Callithrix jacchus: one gene and its partners. The protein of the gene in region 2 purifies or fractionates together with the protein of the main gene of each other region. This does not show direct contact. Links are inferred from orthologs where the notes say so. Each region holds a gene or a part of one and is shown on either strand. Other genes may lie near its edges.

The links.
Region 1: the proteins of PARD3 (region 2) and PRKCI purify together in Homo sapiens (affinity purification with western blotting; 5 studies listed by BioGRID and IntAct, with this or other methods). This does not show direct contact. The link is inferred for Callithrix jacchus from reciprocal best matches to the Homo sapiens genes PARD3 and PRKCI.
Region 3: the proteins of PARD3 (region 2) and RASSF8 purify together in Homo sapiens (affinity purification with mass spectrometry; 4 studies listed by BioGRID and IntAct, counting the BioPlex papers as one, with this or other methods). This does not show direct contact. The link is inferred for Callithrix jacchus from reciprocal best matches to the Homo sapiens genes PARD3 and RASSF8.
Region 4: the proteins of PARD3 (region 2) and PARD6B purify together in Homo sapiens (affinity purification with mass spectrometry; 5 studies listed by BioGRID and IntAct, counting the BioPlex papers as one, with this or other methods). This does not show direct contact. The link is inferred for Callithrix jacchus from reciprocal best matches to the Homo sapiens genes PARD3 and PARD6B.

The regions. Positions count from the first base shown.
Region 1 is NC_133518.1:16,770,085-16,775,363, forward strand, and holds part of PRKCI (protein kinase C iota type), read right to left. Parts: intron 5,063-5,279; coding exon 4,886-5,062; intron 4,081-4,885; coding exon 3,983-4,080; intron 3,370-3,982; coding exon 3,283-3,369; intron 451-3,282; coding exon 315-450; intron 1-314.
Region 2 is NC_133508.1:34,437,510-34,443,238, reverse strand, and holds the start of PARD3 (partitioning defective 3 homolog), read left to right. Parts: upstream 1-2,242; 5' UTR 2,243-2,570; coding exon 2,571-2,690; intron 2,691-3,220; exon of another isoform or gene 3,221-3,499; intron 3,500-5,729. UniProt on the Homo sapiens protein: Adapter protein involved in asymmetrical cell division and cell polarization processes. Seems to play a central role in the formation of epithelial tight junctions. Targets the phosphatase PTEN to cell junctions.
Region 3 is NC_133510.1:45,277,312-45,283,381, forward strand, and holds the start of RASSF8 (ras association domain-containing protein 8), read right to left. Parts: upstream 3,827-6,070; 5' UTR 3,660-3,826; intron 1-3,659.
Region 4 is NC_133506.1:46,270,386-46,276,259, reverse strand, and holds the start of PARD6B (partitioning defective 6 homolog beta), read right to left. Parts: upstream 3,480-5,874; 5' UTR 3,274-3,479; coding exon 3,208-3,273; intron 1-3,207. UniProt on the Homo sapiens protein: Adapter protein involved in asymmetrical cell division and cell polarization processes. Probably involved in formation of epithelial tight junctions.

The DNA of each region.
Region 1 (5,279 bases), on a different chromosome or scaffold from region 2:
GGTTGTGCTAAGTGGTGGAATTGCAGACAGCTTTTATTTCCAAATTTTCTTCAATTGTATTACAACTTTCAAGATAAAAAGTTATGTTTAATAAAAAGAAATTAACTCTTATTGTAGTACACGTAACACAGAAGATGTAAACTTTGCAAATGGTTAGAAAAATAGTACATTTGTCTTTGTGCTAGAATTCCACAAAGCTCCATAAATAAATTAGCAAAATTAGTAATCATTTTCCCATCTTTAAACATGAAGCTGTTTTACAAAGACTACTAGCTGCCGAAGACCTTTTTAAATAACTAGAAAGTGTTCCTCACCTTACACATGCCATAGTCAGTGAGTTTAATGTGCCCTTCGGAGTCCAGTAACACATTGTCCAATTTCAAATCTCTATAAATTATCCCTCGCTCATGAAGATAATTTAATGCTAGACTGATTTCTGCAGAGTAAAATCTAAAATAAAATAAAAAATAAATCATTTGATTCAATCATATTTAAGTTCTAAACTTGCAACTGGAAACATAAAAATTCATATCAAAACATATTTTTTCCTCCCAGTGATTTTTAGAAACAAATTTAAAAAATGAACTGAAGTACCACTTTAAAACATCTGAGCCCACGACACAATTATACAAGTTTAACTTAAACTCACATTTTTCATAAGGCTATTAATTTGAAAGTCTCAAACAGGGGTTCTTAATCTGGGTCCTTGGGTAAACTTCAGGCAGTTCATACTTCTACAACTGGGGGTAAAGGTGTGTGCACATATGTACATGCACAACATCTACAGAGTCCTCACAGCTTTCATCCCTCCTCTAAGGGACCCATGACCCCCCAGTAGGCTAAGAACCACTGACAGTGTCAAGAATAGAAAGGCCGGGCGCTGTGGCTCACGCCTGTAATCCCAGCACTTTGGGAGGCCGAGGTGGGTGGATCACGAGGTCAAGACATCGAGACCATCCTGGCCAACATGGTGAAACCCCGTCTCTACTAAAAATACAAAAATTAGCTGGGCATGGTGGTGTGCGCCTGTAGTCCCAGCTACTTGGGAGGCTGAGGCAGGAGAATTGCTTGAACCCAGGAGGCTGAGGTTGCAGTGAGCCGAGATCACGCCACTGCACTCCAGCCTTGTACCTGGCAACAGAGCAAGACTCTGTCTCAAAAAAAAAAAAAAAAAAAAAGAATAGGAAGACTACTACAAGGTAACTACTCAACACCATAAAATCCTCATAAAGCTTTTAGGAAAGGAATTAAATGGAACTGTTCTACGACTATAAAATTTAATATCAAACAAAGAACTTTAAAAAATTGCTACCAACTCACTGGTGACAACCCAGAACTTTTGGCCTGAATAATGAAAATGGAACACCTGAGGTGTTGTATGGCTGCTTTGGTGGCACGTTATCGCAATTACATGTGGAGGTATATAACATACACCTTCTAGCTACTTAATTCTGTGATTCAGGAACTTAAGCCCTAATTCTGGGCTTTAGTTCTTACAGAAGCAAAGATGGTGGTATAAAGCCAGAACCGGCACATTAACACAGTAAAAACCAGACTAGCTTCCCCACATTCAGCTGAACAGACAAGGAACAAATACTGGCTATGTTCACAATTCAAAATATCATCTGTGGCTCTGCTATGAAGGGTGGATCATTTGATAAAGCCGAATACACAATGAACATACAGGAACACCAAAACGATAACAAAATCCAAATAAACAAAAAACCCAGTCTGGCCTCAAGATAAGTACAATTTATATCTTCTTATGAAATTAAATATTATCACTTTTTCACAAGCAATAATGAAGTAGCAAAATTTCCACAAGTTTTTTATTTAAATGAAATTTCTAATATTTGTTCTCTGTTTGATAATTACAAACATATACAAACTCATATGTTTCATTTTGGTATTACTCTTGTGAAGCAGGAAAGGGTGAGAATTACTGCTGATTATGAATAAAAACAAAACCTGGTACTGATGGATTAAATTGTTTATTCAAGACCCTGATCCCTTCCCACCAATCTCCTCCAACACATAATTTACAATCTTATATATTAATATCAAATTAGGAGCACAAAATTCATATTCAATACTCTTTTCTCTTACTTATCAATAATTATGGGATTAAAGGGAAAAAAAGCCAAAGAACAATAAACCACAGGAAGAACAGTCAGAAGTATATACTAGTTTAAAAGGGATCTTTTTTCTTTTTTTTTTTGAGACAGAGCCTTGCTCTGTTAGGCAGGCTGGAGTGCAGTGGCGCGATCTTGGCTCACTGCAACCTCTGCCTTCCAGATTTAAGTAATTATCTTGCCTCAGCTTCCTGAGTAGCTGGGATTACAGGTACTCGCCACCACGCCCAGCTAATTTTTGTATTTTTAGTAGAGACGGGGTTTCACCGTGTCAGTCAAGATGGTCTCAAACTCCTGACCTCAGGTGATCCACCCACCTCAGCCTCCCAAAGTGCTGGGATTATAGGCATGAACCACTATGCCCAGTCAGACGGATGGTCTGTACTACTCTCAAGTATGTATGAATAGCACTCTCATAATGAAAAGCTCTCTCAGAGACCACTACAAACCTGAAAAGACTAATACATGTTTATTAGTCTCAATTATTTAAATGGCTGATGCTAAACACACAAAATATTTGAAAAGGATTGGTTTTAGTAAAGGTTTCCCTTTTAATATTGTTTATATTTTTCAATGGCTTAGGAAGCACTGTGTGCATGCATGTGTACGTGACATGTGTGTATAAATGTAAAATAATATATAGTATAATTGTTTTACATATATAATGTAAATTAACTTTTAGGTCAGCCTATGAATGACTTACAAAGAATTAACTTGTATCAAAATTAATTAATTAATTAATTTATTTATTTATTTATTTGTGAGACGGAGTTTTCGCTCTTGTTACCCAGGCTGGAGTGCAATGGCGCCATCTCGGCTCACCACAACCTCTGCCCCCTGGGTTCAGGCAATTCTCCTGCCTCAGCCTCCCGAGTAGCTGGGATTACAGGCACGCGCCATTATGCCCAGCTAATTTTTTGTATTTTTAGTAGAGACGGGGTTTCATCATGTTGACCTGGATGGTCTCGATCTCTTGACCTCGTGATCCACCCACCTCGGCCTCCCAAAGTGCTGGGATTACAGGCTTGAGCCACCGCGCCTGGCTCAAAATAAATTTAACTACTGTTTCCAACCACTGCACATAAGAAGCCACATGGCCCTGAAACACACACACACACACACACACACACACAGGGTAAACAAAACTTACCTGGCATGTTCTTCAGGAAGTTTTCTTTGTCGCTGCATATGAAACATTAGGTCTCCTCCATTTACATACTCTATAACAAAGAACAATCTAAAACACAGGAGAGAACTCATGAAATCAAGATCCAAAGAAAGGCAGTGTAACTGCATTTTCACAAACCAGTCACGACAGAGAGCATTCTCTACTATTTAGCCTTTAAAAAGATGCCAAGATTTTGGTGGAAACAAAGAGAGCTAAGGTACAGAAGATATGAGAAAGTAAACCAGCATGATCATAATTTTGTAATCTCCTACTTCTATTCTAAAGTAATACCACTTGCAATCCAAAGCCACTCATTACCATCCTAATTTTAGCCTTTGCTAAATAAGTTGTTTTTGACTGTCAAGGTTAAGAAGTTAGCATTTTTCCTTTTCGTTAAACTCTAGAAAATTTTAAGTCATAAAACTATAAAACTAGAATACCGGGGATATTTAAAGGTTGGATTTCCACTGCCATAATTATGACATGGCTATTTCTTGTTCTGCCTAATGCTGATCCAATATCAAACTGCCATCAGTGACTGGAGTAATAGTAGCAGGAAGTTATAAGCCGAACACTGTTGCATCCTCCATGATGTCTACTTCATGAATTACAGCAGAAAGGTTCTGTGTAATATGCCCAAAATATGAAGCCCAGTAATCATTCTATTATCTTTCAATCTTACCTGCTTTCTGTCTGAAAGCAAGAATGGAGTCCAACAAGAAACGGATGATTGGATGCCTGCTCAAACACATGCTTTTCTGTCTGTACCCAATCAATATCCTATTTTGAAACATGAAAGGAATCTATGTCAAACTGAAATCATCGCAATTAATGATAAATTTGTTCTGAGCAATTCAACTGTCACAAATGCAACTGTTAACTAGGCTAAATATAAAAACCATTGATGATCATGGAACAAAAATTTACAAAGAGAAAATTAACACTAGTAAACCTTTCAATATCATAAAACCGTCTAGAAGATTTTTACAAGCTCAAGTATTTCCTCTGACAATAATGTGGTTTGATTTTTGTTTTTGTTTTTGTTTTTTTTTTTTGAGACGGAGTTTCGCTCTTGTCACCCAGGCTGGAGTGCAATGGGTGCCATCTCGGCTCACCGTAACCTCCGCCTCCTGGGTTCAGGCAATTCTCCTGCCTCAGCCTCCTGAATAGCTGGGATTACAGGCACACGCCACCTTGCCCAGCTAATTTTTTGTATTTTTAGTAGAGACGGGGTTTCACTATGTTGACAAGGATGGTCTCGAGCTCTTGACCTCGTGATCCACCCGCCTTGGCCTCCCAAAGTGCTGGGATTACAGACTTGAGCACCACGCCCGGCCCGATTTTTGTTTTTTTTTTTTAAAAGTCTAATAATAATCAAATTACTTTAAATATCTTATATAATCTATAAGAAAAGTAAACTGAAATAATATATTTAATGTACTTAGCACATATTTAGAAAAGTAGAATCAAATAATAAAGCACAAAGATTGGGGTTTTATTTTAAACCTCAATCAATAAATAAGAATAAACTGCTTATTCTTAAGCAGTTTAACAGTTTAGAAGCAATGAAACATGTGGTGCTTACCTCATCATCATTAACAAGTTCTTTCTTCACAACTTTCATTGCATAAATACGATCTGTTTTTTTTAATCGAACCAACAGTACTTTGGCATAACTTCCTCTTCCTATTACCCGGAGCAAATCAAAATCCTGAAGACCTAGACTGGATGAAGCTTTGCCACTTTCCCTGGTGTTCATTGCCTGGTGAGAGTATTTGTATCAGAGTTACAATGGGAAATGCTTTGCACAGTCATTATATTTCTAAGACCTCATTGTACCTATAATGATTTAAAGATATTTTCCTAACATAAAAAATCTTTTAAGTTCTTAATATTTTTTAAATGTCACCCCAAACCATATAATCTAGCTATCCAAATGAGTTAGATTATGTGGATGAATTCATAAGTTGAGATAAAAG
Region 2 (5,729 bases):
ACAGGCTGAAGAAAGTGAGTGCTGTGTCTAAGTCGCTAGCAAATGGTCGAATATGGATCTGAACCTAGGTCTGTATGATGTCCGATGTACTCCGGTTACTACTAAAAATGACTTTTGATTATAATTATTTTCAGAAAGCCCCACTCTAAAATTATTATACTCAAACTAGTGTACTCTCTGAACTAGTAGAGCATATAAACTAGTAAACATTCTCTGCCAGGGGTGGTGACTCACGCCTGTAATCCCAGCACTTTGGGAGGCTGACCACTTGAGGTCAGGAGTTAGAGACCAGCCTGGCCAACATGGTGAAATCCCGTCTCTACTAAAAATACGAAAATTAACTAGGTGTGGTGGCAGGCACCTGTAATCTCAGCTACTTGGGAGGTGAGGCAGGAGAACCACTTGAACCCAGAAGGTGGAGGTTGCAGTAAGCCACGATCATGCCACTGCTCTCCAGCCTTGGCAATAGAGTGAGACTTGGTTTCAATAAGAAAAAAAATAAAATAAATAAAACAAAACAAAATAAACTAGTATACACTCTAAACTAGTAGTATGCTCCCCCATACATGAAAACAGAAACACCACCTATAATTATGAGTAATTGTTGTTGTGAATCCAAGTATCTATGTAAAAAGCAAAAACCCCACAGCCACAGTTGTTGTCATCGTTGTCGCAAATTTAATTACTGGGTAGAAATGTCGAGTGCCGCAGCCAAACAGCAGTAGGAGGAGCCTTTCCCATGGCGGAGGGGAAGGAGGGAAACCTAGACTCTATTTCTGGGTCTGCCTCGAGCTTTCTCTGCCGCCTTGGGCAAGTGACTTCAGTTCTTGGTCAATGTCCTGGATTAAGATGGGGCTAACGCCACTGCACTGATTTGCTAGGACAGGTGGTGGAATGTGGGGGGTCGGGGCTGGGAGAGGAGAGGAAGGGCAATATTTCCTAGGAGAAACTGCACTGTAGCTGGGGCAGCTGTGGTGCTGCCAAGCGCAGCGAGTGTGGCAAGCGGACGAACCTCTTGTCTTGTTACCTTGTTTTAAAATTGGAGGTGGAGTGGGATGGATGGTCGATATGCAGCTCTCCCAGCTCTAAGTGCCCAAGTTCTGGGAGCTTGATTGCTTTCACGTCCCTTGGAAACAACTGGCAAAAATGAATTTCACACAGTCTGGTACCAGCTTACCATCTCCGGCACTCTTTGCTGACATTTGCCATTCTTTAAACACAATGACATACGTTTATTAAGGAATCACAGTCCATAACTAAGACAAAGTGAGCTTGAGTTACGTTCCCTAACTCGGTCCACGTTCCTTTAAAACGTCTCAAGTCGCATGTCACTCATCGCGGAGTCGCAGCCTTCCCCGGGGTTCAGGCGTCCGCATTAAGCGCAGGCACAGCGTGGGGATCCCCGCGTGCGGTTTTCCCGCGGCGTCGGAATAGACTGCTTTCGGATTCGCGTTGGGATTGCTTATGCTGCATAATTTCAAAGAAATAAATGTATCAGAATTGCGATGCTTAAGGTCTAATCTATTTAAGCGGGTGGGTCAGCAGCGGGTCAACGGGAAACTTCAAGGTAAATAGTGGCCTCGGCAAAAGGCCGGGTCGCTCACAGCTTCCCCACCGCCTCCCCAGAGCAGACGATTAATTTTTGTGTTTCAGGCAAACCCGCCGCTGCCCGGCCCTGCAGCCTAGCTGGGGAGCGACGGCGGCAGAAACCTGGCGGAGCGAGCGGCGGGCTCGGGTCCCGGCTGGCCGAGGGGCTCGGGCTGGAGTCTGCGGGGCGGTGGAGGGTACTCGCCGCGCTGGGCACAAACTGCTTTCACCCGCAGCGTCTGCACCCGAACCCTCTAGTCCGAGGAAGGGGATTAAAAGTGACAAAGGAAGGAGAAGGGGGGCTCCGTGGAGACACGTCTGGAGGCGTGGAAGGGGCGTCTAGGAGGAGGGGTGAGCACAGCCCCGCAGGGTGCTGGGCGGACGGGTGAAGGGGGCTGGGGGCTCCCGGGCCGGAGCTGGTGGGGGCCCACGGCAACTTGCGCGGGCTGGCTGTGGGGCGAGGGGTCCCGCGCCCCCGGAGGGAGGCGGGAGGCCTGCGGCGGGGGCGCGGGCGGCCGTCGTGCGCTCCGCCCAGAGCGGGGAGCCGGTCGCGCCTCCCCCTGCCGCATGTGCGCGGTGTTGTGTGCCCGGCCCTGCTCCTCCCCCTCCCCTCTCCTCCCCTCTCCTCCCCTTCCCTCGCTCCGTCCCCTCCCCCAGCGGCCCCGAGCGAGCGCCAGCGCCACACAGCCCCGGGCCGCCGCCGCTGAGCGCGCCGAGACGCCGAACAGGTGGCCGGAGGCTGCGGGCGCCGCGGCGGGGAGAGGCGAGGCGAGCCCCGGGCGAAGCGAGGCGAGGCGAGGGCGGCCGGGTCGGGCCCGGCATGCGAGCCGAGCGGTCCCCCGGCGTCACCGCCGCCTGCCCGCTCCCCTAGCCGCCTGCGCGCCCGAGTACCCCGCGGCTCCCCCGCTCCTAGCGTCCCCGACCCGGCAGCTCCGCCTGCGCTCGGCGAGGGGCGCGGGCCTGCCCGCGGCGGCGGCGGCGGCATGAAAGTGACCGTGTGCTTCGGACGGACCCGGGTGGTCGTGCCGTGCGGGGACGGCCACATGAAAGTTTTTAGCCTCATCCAGCAGGCGGTGACCCGCTACCGGAAGGCCATCGCCAAGGTGAGGGGCCGAGGGCACGGGCGGGGAGGGGGGCGGCGGCGGGGACGGCGCCGGGATCAATATGGCGCTTCCTGGAAGGGGGAGGAGAGGCACAGGGAGGCGGGGAAAGGGAAAGTGCGGCCGGGCCGGCCTCGCGGGCGCCCCCCGCCCGGGGCTGCGGGCGCCAAAGTTCTCCGCGCGGGCTGGGGCGCAGCCTCGGGAGCACCGCGCCGCGGCCCCCGCCGCCCCCCGGGAGCTCCGGTCTCGGGAGCGCGGGGCGAGCCGGGCGGCGGCGCACAGGCCAGCCCCGGGCGCCTCCCCGGAGTCTGCAGACCCAGCCAAGCCCCGAAAAGGCGCGCGGGGGGCGGGGGCCGGGAAATCCAGCCCCAGGCCTCTCCCGGCTCCCAGGCCCCGCGGGCACCGACCGGGGACTGGGAACTTCTGGTGTGAGGAGAGTTTCGGGACTGCTCTCCCAACAGAGGCGGGCTGCGAGCTTTCCATCTCCTCTCCCTTTCTCGGGCGGGGGCGGGACCACCGCGGGGGGCTTTTACCTCTGCGTCCCGGGCGGGCCGGGACGGCCGGCCTCGTCCGGGGGCTGCAGGGTTGGGGGAGTCTCTCGCTTGGGGTCCGGGAGGCGTTCCCGGGAGGGCCGCTGCTGGCACTGGCTTGAGAGCATTTACTGTGCTGATCCCCCTTGCTGGGCTCGGTAAAGCACAGCCTCGGCACAGTCGCGGAATGAAAAGTTTTCCTGCGAGGACCTCAGCTCCTACCCATCCCGGGCTGCTTCCATGCGGAGGGCTGTGGAGCCGGGCCTGACTCGGGAGTCGAGTGGATTTCCCTTTTTCCTGCTGGAGTGATAACATTGTCTCCACTTCACTGCATTCCTCTACTATGTGTCAGAAGTGAAAAGACATTTTGTTACATTGTTTTACCGACTGGGTCTGTATTTGACAACAGCCCACGCTGAAGTTTCTCTCAAGCACCCGAGGATATTTCCTTTGTCGTAGAGTCCTGTTTGGTGGGGAGCACATTCTCTTGGGTGCACTGTTTCCTATTTGTTCCCGACAGTGGCCTGGCGCCTGTGGGCTTGGGGGCTGCAGATGACATTGGAAAGTGTCTTGGCCAGCCCTATTGAGCGTACACCGGGTGCTCTGGGTGTCATCTTCAGTGATCTCAGAAATTAAGAAGAAAACGCTTTTTAGACTGCTGTTTTGCTTTCAATATATATTGGAAAAAATAGCATAAATGTGGCCTTTCAAACATAATTTGGGGGAACGTTTAGGAACCTGACTTAAGGCTGGAAGACATTGGCTTTAATAGTTCTGCTATGTTCCTTACAGTTGGTTGAACTCTTTTATTGAAAATCAAATAAAATTAGTGGGAATTGGACACCTGTTTATCTTGCAAAGCTGAGAGGGAAAGAAAACCATCTAAATGGACATTGAGCATTTTTAATGATTGTTTATGTGTGACAGTTTATGCTTTAAATGTTCCAAAAGAATACTCAAATTGTTCAGGTGCTCTGGAACCCAACAAAATAAATCGTGCAAGGAAAGAAATAAAATAATACACACTCTGTACTATGTCTTGGTTCCTGAAAAGGTAGGATGATTGAAGTTTCCTTTCCCTTTACTAATTTTATGTGATTAAAATTGTTTTACCTACTATGTCTCACGTTTCATCATGTACAAAATAGACATAGGCTGAACTGGCTGTTTGACAGTAGTTCAAATGTGGTTGTTTGAGGCATTAACTCGTTCCACAGAAATTCTTAAGCTTTGACTATGTCCAAGGCACTGTTCTGGGTGCTGGACATCTAGGGGACCCACTGGCTGTGAGAGTCTGAGCACGAGGCTGCGAGGTCCTCCAGGTGAAGGGGCTGGTGGTGGGAGAAGAGGTGGCCTCTGGGATGCTGGCGGACTAGATCAGGGCCTACCTGGCCCTTGTTATTAATGATTAGCAGTGGTGGTTTCACAAGGACCTAGGGCATAGAAAAGGGAGTGCAGATTTCTTAAGGGTATCTGGGCAGGTGTCACAAGGAGAAAAGCGGGGCCTATGAGCTGAAGGAAGGGAGGGTGTTAGTGATATGGGAGTTGAGAGGGAGGGTGAGAGGTAGTTCAGGGGTTCCAACACTTACATGCTCTTTAAGTACAACTTAGAGTTCTGTAGGTGAATTTGAACGGGGGCTTTGCAGTAGACCAAGTTCAGTCATTAGATCAGGACTGTTGACCCTCAGATGTTGCTAGAACTCAGGGGTCTTCTGGGCCCCTTTCTCCTTTTTCTTCTGAAATTGCTAGATAATGATTAAGATTAATTTTTAGTCTTTCCCATTCTATATTATGTGTGAGAAAGTGTTAATATGTATTTAACATTTTTTTTTTTTTTGAGACAGAGTTTTGCTCTTGTTACCCAGGCTGGAGTGCAATGGCGCAATCTCGGCTCACCGCAACCTCTGCCTCCTGGGTTCAGGCAATTCTCCTGCCTCAGCCTCCCGAGTAGCCGGGATTACAGGCATGCGCCACCACGCCCAGCTAATTTTTTTGTATTTTTGGTAGAGACGGGGTTTCACCATGTTGACCGGGATGGTATCGATGTCTTGACCTCCATCCACCCGCCTCGGCCTCCCAAAGTGCTGGGATTACAGGCTTGAGCCACCGCGCCCGGCCCTATGTATTTAACATTGTTTTAACTTTTATTCTCTTACCTGTTCCTTACGTACTCCTGTTGCTTAACAGAACAAGACAAATTCTGTGTGGAGAACTGGGTGGCTGGAGAGCTGTGGAGCAGTGTTTGGGTTGCTAGGTGACATGTGGTGTGATGAACTCCCATCTGGTGGGGAAACGTGGGCAGATCATGTTTATGGCTTTGTATAATAACCAACCAAGCCAAAATAAAAAATGAAAAGAGACAGGTCCCAACTCCCAAATCACCAAGGCTTTCTCTGCAGTAAACATTTTCTGGTGTGGTGGGGCTAATTTTCTGGCATTACATCTGAGCTGTTTTCTCCTCAGGTTACACAAATCAATTTTTCTGGATAGTGAAGTGCCATGATTTAATACT
Region 3 (6,070 bases), on a different chromosome or scaffold from region 2:
ATTAAATTTCACCTCAGTCACTTTGCTTGTCAGGTAACCTATCAACGGAAAAATATTTTGACATAAATTATTTTCTATTTCTCAGTTCTCTGTTTCAGATTTCAGAGGAGCAAGCTGAAGAGAGCATTTTCTAGAAATGTAAACACTAAGCAGAAGGCAGAAATGACAAATTGATTACTGTCAGTTTTAGTGGTCTTTGGCTCAAACTTTCCAACCCTGATCTCCATGACAAAGTACTCCTCAATAATCTTGCAGTAGGTGTAGCATCTTTTATCAAGGGATCAGCAGACAGTCTAAAATACCTTTTGACCATACACGAAATCATTTTTTTTTTTTTTTTTTTGATACAGGGTCTCATTCTGCTGCCCAGGCTGGAGTTCAGTGGCATGATCTTGGCTTACTGCAGCCTCGACTTCCCAAGCCAAAGTGATCCTTCCACCTCTGCCTCCCAAGTAGCTGGGACTACAAGTGTGCACCATGATGCCTTTTTTAAAATGTTTATTTTTAGAGACGGGGGTCTCACTATGTTGACCAGGCTAGTCTCAAACTCCTGGGCTCAAGTGATTCTCCCATATCAGCCTCCCAAAGTGCTGGGATTATAGGCATGAGCCACCATGCCCAGCCTGTATGGAATATTTTTTTAATGCTGTTTTCAACTGAAGTACTAGTAAGGTCTCAAAGCAAAAAGGACCAAATAAACAAAAGCTATAATCCTAATTTTAACAAGTTTTAATTTCTACAATTACAGCCACAGAGTTTTAAATTCTATTCTTAAAGGATTAGTATTTTGTTCTATGATTCGAATTTAATGAAAACTTCACAGTTTCTAATTATATAAAAAGATCTAATCTCATCATGGAGAACTATGAGTTTTGTCAAAATTTGTTTCTTATTTCAAATATCTATTTGAGAAATAATTTTCAAATAAATACATACTACGAATCAGTAATCAACCTGAAATATTTTTGACATGGAGACTTCTTCATGCCATTAAAAATGAATATGACCTGTATTAAGTGCAATTGTCCAAACCAATCAAGACATACAGAAAAATGCTCAGTGTCTGTTCTTCCTATAAAACAACGCAATAATTTATCTTATTTATTATTTCCCAAAAACATATTGGGAGAAAGTTAACACAGACATATTTAGAGCCAAGGATAGCACATATGTTTTATCCTGTCTACTAAGCCTGAGGGTCTGACTATAGATGCCAAGAATGTGATGCTTAAAAGGATGACCAGGCTCAGCATGAACACATACCATGATCAACTAATCATGCCTGCCACGGGCACAGAAAACACATACATCTGTTGTCATCACTAGTATGAATGTTATCAGTTGAAACACATTTGCTGAAGTTTGCTGCTGTAGTGAGTGAGTGCCCACTCAGCAAGTCACTGGGCACATGGCACCACCCAGCTGTGCCTATCCCTGCTGTGCAGAGGCACTGGCAGCTCAGGCAGGGTACTAGAACACAACTTCACAAAGCAACAAAGGTCCACACTCTCATATTCCTTAAACCAATACAACAGGTCTGAGTTTTGTCCACAAAATATAAAAATGTGCCATTTACTTGGATGGGGTTTAGAAAAATAATGGTTACAAAACAGAACTATTTCATTCTTTCTAGGACCACAAGAATAGGATGAAAACTGGTAATTATACTACTAAGAATTTCAAAGTCTTAATTTAGGCCTAGTCAACATTAGCCACATTAAAGGAAAAAAGATTTTTTTATCAACATGAAAGTTGATGAAGTATGCATATATTAGAAAAACATTAAAAATTTAAAGCTAGTTAGAAAATGCTTATGATATATAAGCAGTTTGAATAAACAACTCAGGTAAAAAGAAACTAGGTCTCTTTATTATACAAAACAAAGTTTTCTAGAGCAAACAAGTGTCAAATTGTATGATATTACTGGAATTATAATTCCATGATTGTGATTTCTAATGAAGAAGCCTGGCTAATGCTCCAGGTGCTATTACTACGATTTTACCAAACCTGAGTAAATTTGATGGAAAATAGTAAAACTGTAAGGACACAGGATTTAAAGAATCAGCAGACTTGAGTTCAGAGTACCATATAACCCCGAACTCCCTTAAACTCATAGAGGTTCATTTCTTCATTCTTCAAGAATATCTGTTGGTTTGCTGTAAACAATTAAACTACACTCACCTGTTTAAAACTATCTTAAGAATTTGAAAGTACTGTCCCACCAGGTGGCTATCATCAGAGAAGCCACATTTTCCTATGAGTTTATTGGATTACTAGACTTGGATTACTAGAAATGAGACAGAGCTGGCAGGGCAGTCCTGCAGACACACTACACATCAAGAATGTGGCCCTTTTTATTGGACAGGACTGCCAATAACAAAAGACCCTGTGGAAAACATGCTGCTAATTACATGGAAACCTGGTCAGTTTTAAATTCTGGGAGATACACTCTCCTTCATTTTGATTCCATAAACTTGAATGCAGGAAAAAGCAAGAAGACAGAACAAACTGGCACAGCTCTTAAAACTCAGGTGAGGCCAGGTGCAGTGGCTCATGCCTGTAATCCCAGCATTTTGGGAGGCGAAGGCAGGAGGATTGCTTCAGCCCATCAGTTCGAGACCAGCCTGGGCAACAAAGGGAGACTCCATCTTTCCAAAAAATTAAAAAATTATCTAGGCATGGTGGCCTGTGGTCCCAAGTACATGGGAGGCTGAGACAGAAAGATTGCTGGAGTCCAGGAGGTTGAGAGGCTCCAGTGAGCTGTCTATGTTTACATCACTGCAATCCAGCCTAGGCAACAGAGTAAGACCTTATCCACCCCCCCAAAAAAAGAAAGAAAGAAGAGGACTCACATGGAAGCAACGTCATGCCCAAGAAAAAACAAATCTGGATACTAATCATAGGCCCACGTATTTTAAAAATTCAACTCACATAATTAGCAATGATATAAATAATATACGGATATAGTTATGTTTAGGTGTCACGAGTGATATACTGGTATGAGGCCGAATGGGAATATGATGTCTATTCCTCCCTTTTCAGAAACACAGGAAGCTGTTTATAGCCACTGAAAAAGGCTAAATAATGACAGTTCACACAACCGACACTTAAATATTCACTGCCAGTTACATTGCTATCTGAGGAAAAAGAGGAAATTTAGTTTTCTCACTTTTTAAATATTAGATGCCTGACAGCTTTTGTTCTGTTAAATTCTTACCATATGCCAGGAGATGTTCTGTTTTGAATGTTCTGTTTTAAATGTATCAATTTATTTAAGTTTCCTATTAATCTTATAAGGTAGATATGATTATTGTTTCTTTTCAGAGGAGGAATTCAGCACAGAGCAGTTATAAAACTTGCCCAAGATCACACACCTCATTAGAGGAAAAGCCAAGACTTCGATCCGGCATTGTGGAACCAGAACTTTAATAAATACTCCACTGCCTAATAAGATAAAGAAAAAGAATATACATTGCACCTAATTGCTTCAAAAAACATTTACCACAGGCCTACTATATGTGCCATGCATATGTTGTTATATATTACATATATATCATAGATATGATATGCATAAAGTAACAAAGCTTTAAAGACACTAGATTCAAACTGAAGTTCATGGGTCAGTTTCTTAGTCCCTTTATGCTGATATAGTAAAATACCGTAAACTAGGTGGCTTATAAACAACACAGATTTTCTTCTCACAGTTCTGGAAGCTGGAAAGTCCAAGGTCAAGCCACTGTCAGACTCAGTGTCTAGTGAGGGCCTGCTTTCTGGTGGACAGATGGTGATGGTGCCTTCTAGCTGTGTCCTCCCATGGAGGAAGGGCAAGACAGCTCCCTGGGGCCTCTTTTATGAAGGCACTAACCCCATTTATGATGGCCCTACTTTCATGACTCCTCATGACCTAATCACCTCCCAAAGGTCACAACTCTTAACACTATCACATTGGTGATTAGGTTTCAATATGAATGGTGGGTGGGGGGAGATACAGGAACATTCCAACGACAGCACTCAGTCTCAATTAATTAATAATGTCAAGTATAATATTTACTTGACTTGGGTGTTTGTAGGACTGGAGGCAGAGAGGAAGCAAGGCCTAGAAGAGTAATCCACCCCTATTAAAAATAATATTGCTCATCAGGAAGAGGAAAGTTCTTTTGGGAAACATCTGGCTAATCTTTTTGGAAAACAGGTTCTGAAGAAATTCTTAAAGAGGACTGATTATGCAATTCTGGCTACAGTCAGTACCTACTATTTTCAATGGGGATTTCTTTCCATGGACACATGACTGACTCAGTTCTTAGGCATAACTGGGGCTAACACAAACCAAAATAGCCAGAGGCCTCATCCCAAAGAAACTGCAATATAAAGTTAGGTCTTGAGAATTATTTTCCAGATGCTGTAGATGTTCCTGAAAGGGTTCCTTTGGTTTCTAAGGTACAAAGATGGACAATAGGAGACTGCTCTTAGATCTGCCCTGGGCAGAACCCTGGAATTAATGAGGAGAGTGATATCTATCACTTTTGGATTCCAAGGAAGGAAAGACAAAATAGTATGAGGGCTCTTATGACACTTAAAAATGACAAGGGTACTTAGGTGGAGAGGAGCTGTTTTTTTCTGGTCTTGGTGACCAGGACTGACCCTCATTTATCTCCTTTCTATCCCCCAGTTCCCCCGGCCTACATCTTAGGTATCCAGAAGTCTCTCATATTGTCCCTTATTTGTGCAAAGGCCCAGAATCAATCATTCCCTGCCCTCTCCTATCACCAACAATAGAACTGTTCAGCCCAGAAGCATTCCTTTTCTATTCGCCACATCCTCCTCCTATTCCTTAAAGTGCCTAAAGTCAACTAAATATATAGAGTGAGGCTGGGCACTCATGCCTGTGATCCCAGCACTTTGGAAGGCCAAGGTAGGTGGATCACGAGGTCAGGAGTTCAAGACCAGTCTGGCCAACATGGTGAAACCCTGTCTCTACTAAAAACACAAAAATTAGTCAGGCGTGGTGGCGCATGCCTGTCATCTCAGCTACTCAGGAGGCTGAGGCAGGAGAATCACTTGAACCCAGGAGGCGGAGGTTGCAGTGAGCAGAGATGGAGCCACTGCACTCCAGCCTGGGAGGCAAAGCAAGACTCTGTCTCGAAAAAGACGGGGGGGTGGGGAAGGAAATATCAGATTAAAGTAAAGCACATTTAGTTAATCTACAGTTGGTAATATGAGAAGAGATAATTAGGGAAAGAACTTTCCTACTGTTCCTCTTAAACCACAGTGCCCTTCCCAGGGCTAGGGTGATCAGGTAGGTTAGGCAGCTGGGGCACAAATGTATGGGAGTGCCACTCTCATGTGCTGGCGCTGTGCCTGGACCCTGAATGATGCCTCCTTCTACTTCGTGCCCTCCTGCATGACTCACTTGCTTTCTTCTACAGGCTTTGTGCCACCTTGGTAAAGATGGTCTCAGGGGACAAGAAGGATAAACTTCAGCTGCTCTCAAGCCATTGCTTACAAAGAAAAACTCATTGGTTCTATCTTCCCTTCTAATTTATCTCTAATTTCTAATTTAATTTCTGACTTAAAACCCAAACTCTTCACTGGTGTCTGACCAACTCTCTCATAGAAAGAGGTCCAAATTTTGGACAGTAAGGAAGTCTTCTAGCCCCAAGGCCTCAGAATGGATTGGGCATCTGTTAGTCATTCCCGGGCCATGGCACACAGGGGCCTGGGCACCAGTACTACTGCAGGCACAGAACCCTGTGGGAATCAGGAATCCACCTACTTGCCCTCACTCCAGGACCAACACTCTCTCCATCAGTTTTTCTTTTGGATCAAAGAATAAATAACTGGCTATTTTACCCATCTTAAACAAAACAGCCCTCTTCTGATCCCTTTCCTCCCACTGATTATCTTCTCTTTTGCAGCAGAACTCCTTCAAGAACTGTCGATACTCACTTTCATTTTCTCACCTTCCATTCTCTATCAAGTTCATTCCTGCCAGGCTTCTGTCCCCACCATCCACCCAAACTACTGTTACTGAGATCACCAATCACCTCGCTAAATACAAGGGTCAGTTTGT
Region 4 (5,874 bases), on a different chromosome or scaffold from region 2:
ACATCACCATGATTATTGATTAAGAATCTTTCCAACACTAGAGATACAGTTAGGAAGATAAATCAGTTTCCAAAGAAAAGTGACATACTAGCTGGTATCACAAATTTAACTATACTTATATTTACGTTCTCCATTATTTTATTATCATTATTTTTCCCTGCCACTTGCAAAGATAAGAAAGTTGACACTACTGCTTTAATTCATTTTTCAAACTTTTTATTTTTTTGAGACGGAGTCTCCCTCTGTCACTCAGGCTGGAGTGCAGTGACACAATCTCGGCTCACCACAACCTCCACCTCCCAGGCTCACATGATTCTCCTGCCTCAGCCTCCCAAGTAGCTGGGATGACAGGCATGCAGCACCAAGCACAACTAATTTTTGTGTTTTTAGTAGAGATAGGATTTTATCATGTTGGCCAGGCTGGTCTTGAACTCCTGACCTCAGGTGATTCGCCCACCTTGGCCTCCCAAAGTGCTGGGATTACAGGAGTGAGCCACCACACACGGCTGACACTACTGCTTTATATGAAGAAAAAGAGATATTAAAAATGGACGAGAACCCGGTGTGGTGGCTACCTCCTGTAATCCCAGCACTTTGGAAGGCCTAGGTGGGCAGATCACTTGAGCTAAGGAGTTAGAAACCAGCATGAGCAACATGGCAAAACTGTTTCTAAAAAGATTTTAAAAAATAAAAATAAATAAAAGAAAAGAAAAATAGACCAGGTAGGGTGCAGTGGCTCATGCCTGTAGTCCCAGTACTTCAGGAGGCAGAGATGGGGGCATCACTTGAGCTCAGGAGTTCAAGATCAGCCTGGGCAACTTGGCAAGACCCCCGTCTCTATTAAAAAAAAAAATTACCTGGGTGTAGTGGCGCATGCGTATAATCCCACTACTCAGGAGGCTGAAGTGGGAGAATCACTTGAGCCCGAGAGGTTAAGGCTGCAGTGAGCCATGATCGTGCCATTGTACTCCAGCCCCAGTGACAGAGCAAGATCCTGACACGAAAAATAAAAGAATTAATAAAAGGACCTGCACACTACCTATTTCGTTACAAACTCTTAGGGATTAGTGTTGTAAAAAAGCTGTGCTATCACTAAAGCAATGTCAAAGGAAATACTGTTTTAAAAACCCCTCCAAATATTTTTTAAATGATTAGATGACAAATATTTCAATCCGCTGAAAATAAATGTATCAGAAATATATATTTGAAAGATAGAAGGTGTCACAGACACATTAGGAATACTCCCCTACCTATACCTTGCCTATTTGTCAACAGCTAGAATAGTGCATTCAGTGCATTCATTCAGTGCATGTTTCTAGAATCAGTGTATGAGTCTACTTAAGAGACATGGTTCACTAAAAGTGCAGTATGGCAGTTCAAATATACAACATGTAGTTTAGACAGAAGTATGTGAAAGATTCAAAAATCAGTTGACAAGAGAAAGGCAAAAAGCCTGAAATTCCAGTTTTAAAGCACTCAAGGTTTCTTAGTACTAGAGATAAACTACTATTTGATTGTATTTATCAGCATGCTGATAAATACTGATAAAACAGAATTCCAACTCATTTTTTATGAGAAAAAAATTAAAGATTTGCTACCCAAATTAGGGCTATAAACTTATTTTTAAGATTATGCAATATCACAAGTGTTTTTCTTTCCATAACCTCAACGCCCACAAATCCAAACGAGACTTATAACAGAAATGCTGTAAGAAGGTTCAACCACTGGGCACGGAACCACTACTGCCACTATACCGCTAGAGGAAAAGCTCTGCTACATATTTTGGGTCATCTTCACGCTATATAGCTCAAGCAAGTCACTTCAATTTGCTATGCCGTGCACATGGCACACAGACACACGAACATTCCTTAAATTGCTATAACTACACTTCTTACTGATTCTGAAACTAGTGCCAATCCTCATTTCAGTGCCAAATCACATTTTTAAATGATGTTACAAACAAATGTAGATTTTCTCGATGTGATTCTCAGTTACAGAAACTTACAGAACTTTGCTTATCAACCGTAGACAATAAAACCATTCTACCCAGAGGCTCTAGAAAGCTTTCCTTACTCCACTCAACTCACTCCTTGATTCTGCATACTCCTTAGTAGGCTTACAATCTATGACGCTCCATTACTTCTTTTTTTTTTTTTGAAATTGATACGCTTTCAATTTTTTCGTTTTCTGTGTTTTGGCCTTTTCAATTCTATTTTAAATGTTCCGAGGGCCCAGCCAGTGCCCTGTTTTGTATTCTGCAGTGCCTAAAAGTTACTGTTAAAAAGGCATGAAGGCATTGCAAAAAAAGAGCTTGGGAAGTCATAACCTTTCTGAACCTCAGTCTTCTCAGAGAATTGGACTAGACTATCTAAGCTCCTTTTAACTCTTCAACTCAAGAAACTTCGTCGAAAATGTTCCCGTAGCTGCCGATCACCTTCAAACTCCATCTCAAAACCCCCTTTGGAAGGCATTCCCTAACTAATCCCTACAGACTCCCCTGCTCACCGAGCCTTGCGATTTAGGAATTCAGTGAATACCGAAATAATTATCAGCAGATTGGCATACCGCTGGTCAAGGGGAAAAACACTTGATGTAAGTAAGTAGCAGGATGGAATGAAAAGAGCATCCAAACTCAAACTGTAAAGTGCTACTCCAGCGTAAGGTGATAGCGCTAATTTTACAGATTAAATGCATACCAAAGTTAGTTCTAGAAAGAGCGCTAGCAGGAAGCAAAGGGAACTTTTCAAGGGCTATTTAGTTCACTGGGCTCTCTCCTTCGCCACTCGATGCGCCCCTGAACCCCAGAAAGGGGGAACGAGGTGGTCCAGGGCCCTTTATTCACAGCCCAGCAGGCAGGATTCCCCTACATCTTTTGAGCCGCCTCGCATTCCACTAAATGTGTGCCATCCTCGGGCATACCTTGGCCCCTACTCCCAGCCGTGAACACGGGAATGAGATTTACGGGACGAGATTAAACGCTGGATTAGATCTTCTTCCTGCCGGGGCCATGGGCGGACGGACACTAGCGCCCACCGACCCCCGCCGCACCCTCCTCGGCAAGTTTATTACCCACCATCCCCCGCCCGCACGTCCAGACCCCGGGGCAGCTCGGACCGTCGCCTCCCCCGGCGCTCCGAGACCTGCCCAGCCTCTCCCAGGCCCTGGCCCCCCAGGCCCGCCGCTCCGCCCAGCCCGTGCCCCGCGCACCTTGCTCTTCACCTCCATGGTGCCCAGGCAGCCGCTGCCCGCCGCGTGCCGGTGGCTGCGATTCATGCTGAACGCCGGGCCAGCGGCGGCCTCCTCCGGCCGGGCGGCCCCTCTGGAGAGCAGGGAGCGAGTGCGCGGCCGGCGGGCTCGGAAGGCGGCTGCGGCCCGGGAGCCTCCTCACAGGCACCTGCAAAGAAGGCGGCCGCACCTCTGGCGTCTGCGCCGAGCTGCACTCGGTCGGCTGCTCACACGGCGGGACCGAGGGTCGGACTGGCTGTGCGGCGGGCGGAGACGCAGCTCCCTCCCTCCGGGCCCCGGCGGCGGCGGCGACGACAGCGCTGGAGGAGGAGGAGGAGGAGGGGGCGGAGCGGAGGCCACAGGCGCCGCAACCTCTCCCTCAGCCACCTCCTCCGCGAGCCCGCGCGCGCGCACCCGAGCCGGGCCACAGCCGCGGCGCGTGCGCGTGCTCACCTGCCGCCCCCGAAGCTGCTGCAACCGCTCGCGCTCCGCCCACACCCAATAGGAAACGCGCACCTGCGCCCGCGGCGCCAACCAATCGATACACGCCTCGCGCGATGCGTGGGCGGGCCGCCTCCTCAAAAAACCCCGCCTTTCGCTGCGCGATTGGTCCTGCGCTTCGAGGGAGGGGCGGGATCACCTGAAGCCGTGGACCTACGCCCCTCATCAAGCCGGAGAGCCAGAGGGCGCATGCGCGGGTTCTGGAGTTTCCGCCCGAGGAAAGCACGCGGGGCGGTCGGCCGGAAGCGCGAGCGCACCTGAAGAAGGGCTCGGCTGGGTGGGTCTTTTGCGCACGCGCAAGCGCGCGCCTCGTTGTCCGGCGCGCGAGTCACACGCTTGGCTCTGGGGATGGGGCGCCTAGCGCTGCCGGTGGCCGAGGCTCCACGGGGCTGTTTGGTGTCCGCCGGTCCCCCTCCCCGCTTCCACTTTGGGAAGCGGCATCCCCTCCACCGCCCTTTAGCGTCGCTTAGGTGTCCCGCTGCAAGTCTTGTTTGCAAAATTTAAGTTTTCTAGCTTCTGTAGCAGTTGCTGGAGGAGAAGCTTAGGGCTCTCTTGGCTTGACTTTGTCCGAAGAGACTCTGCACGCCCTAAGTTCGTCAGGTCGAGAGGGAAGGAAAGTGGGCTTGAGGCGCGGGAAGGCTCCTTGCGGGCCCAGCCTCCCAGAGGATTTCTAGTCCGGTCTTCCAGTGCTTTTTTTTTTTTTTTTTTTCTTTAAACCTCTGAAGTCCTCTTCCCTCCTCCCGCCATTCCTTAGCCATTCGCTGTTTCTAGTAATGACAGCCAATGGGTTGTGTTCGTTTCCCGGAGTGACCAAGCTGTGTCCCAGAGCAACAAAACTCTGAATTCTCCTCTCTGAATGTCCCAGTCCCTGAGCCCGGCCTCTCTTCACACAGACCCTGTTGGCCATGGGGAGGAGAGGAGAAGACTGAAGATTTGGGCTGGAGGAGATTCCCAAGTCCCAAGGGCTCCCTGTGGGTTCTGGGAATCCAAGAGCTGTTGAAACCTGCAAACCAGAAAGGGGGTGGGGGAGTGGAGGTGGAGGAGGAGGGTCCAGCTTTAGATCTGGCAAGAAGAGTGGTTTGAGTGCCTTCCTCCCCTTACCTCCCTGCCCACCTCGGATGCCTCCTAACACTTGTACCGGTTTCCCAGCACGGGTGACAAGTTCCAGGTTTCCATTTTTGTGTGCATCTGAGTTTTGTGAGTAATCCGCCTCCAGCATAGAATGAAAGCTCCCGAAGGCAGGGAGCACTTGGGCTTTGCTGTCATTGAGTAGTACAGAGCCTGACTCCCAGTGGGTACTGTGCTGCAGCTGAGGGTGTCCTTTCTGCAGGCTCACTTTGCCCCACCTGTGTTCAAAGGTGAGAAGCTCATTTTTTTTTCCCCCTGGAGGATTCAGGTCACCAGACGTTTGTGGGGGAATTTAAGGTTTTTCTGGTCTTCTGAGGTGGCAGCACAGGTGGAAAGGACACCAATCCAAGCTGAATAATAAATAAGCAAGCTGCCTCCACCCGCTGTACGAAAGCACATACGAGGTGACTCAAGCTCAGCCGGAAATAAAGTGCCTATCAGAGCAGCTGCAGGGCCTGTAACTCCCGTTTGGACTAGCACAGCAGTTCCCAACTTTATTGTTCTCAAGACCCGTTTACACTATTAAAAATCATGGAGGACCCCAAAGTACTTTATGTGTTATATCTTTCAGTATTTATCTTAGAATTAAAACGGATGTGTCTAAAACATGGGAATACACCAGCATGCATTCCAACAGTCATCAGACTGATGATGTCATCACGTCTTGTCCCTTCTGGAAAACTCCATTGTATACTCTCCAGACAATGACAATGAGGAGAACAAATGACATCTTAGTTTTGTGAAAACAGTTTTGGCTTTGCAAAGACCCCCCCCATAAAGGGGTCTCAGGGACTCCCAGGGACCACATTCTGATCATGGCTGGACTAGAAACCATGTCACCACCTTTAGAGAGCTGGATTCTTAGGTTTCCCCCTCCTCTCCCTGATTGGCAGGACCACACCCTGGGAGCAGCACCCAGCTCTGTGTGAGTGAGTGTTGTTGGGTGGTTGAATTTTACTCCTGTTATCGGTACTGATTTATCAGGCCCTTTTAAAAAGGAAGTTCATGGGTGCCAGTGCA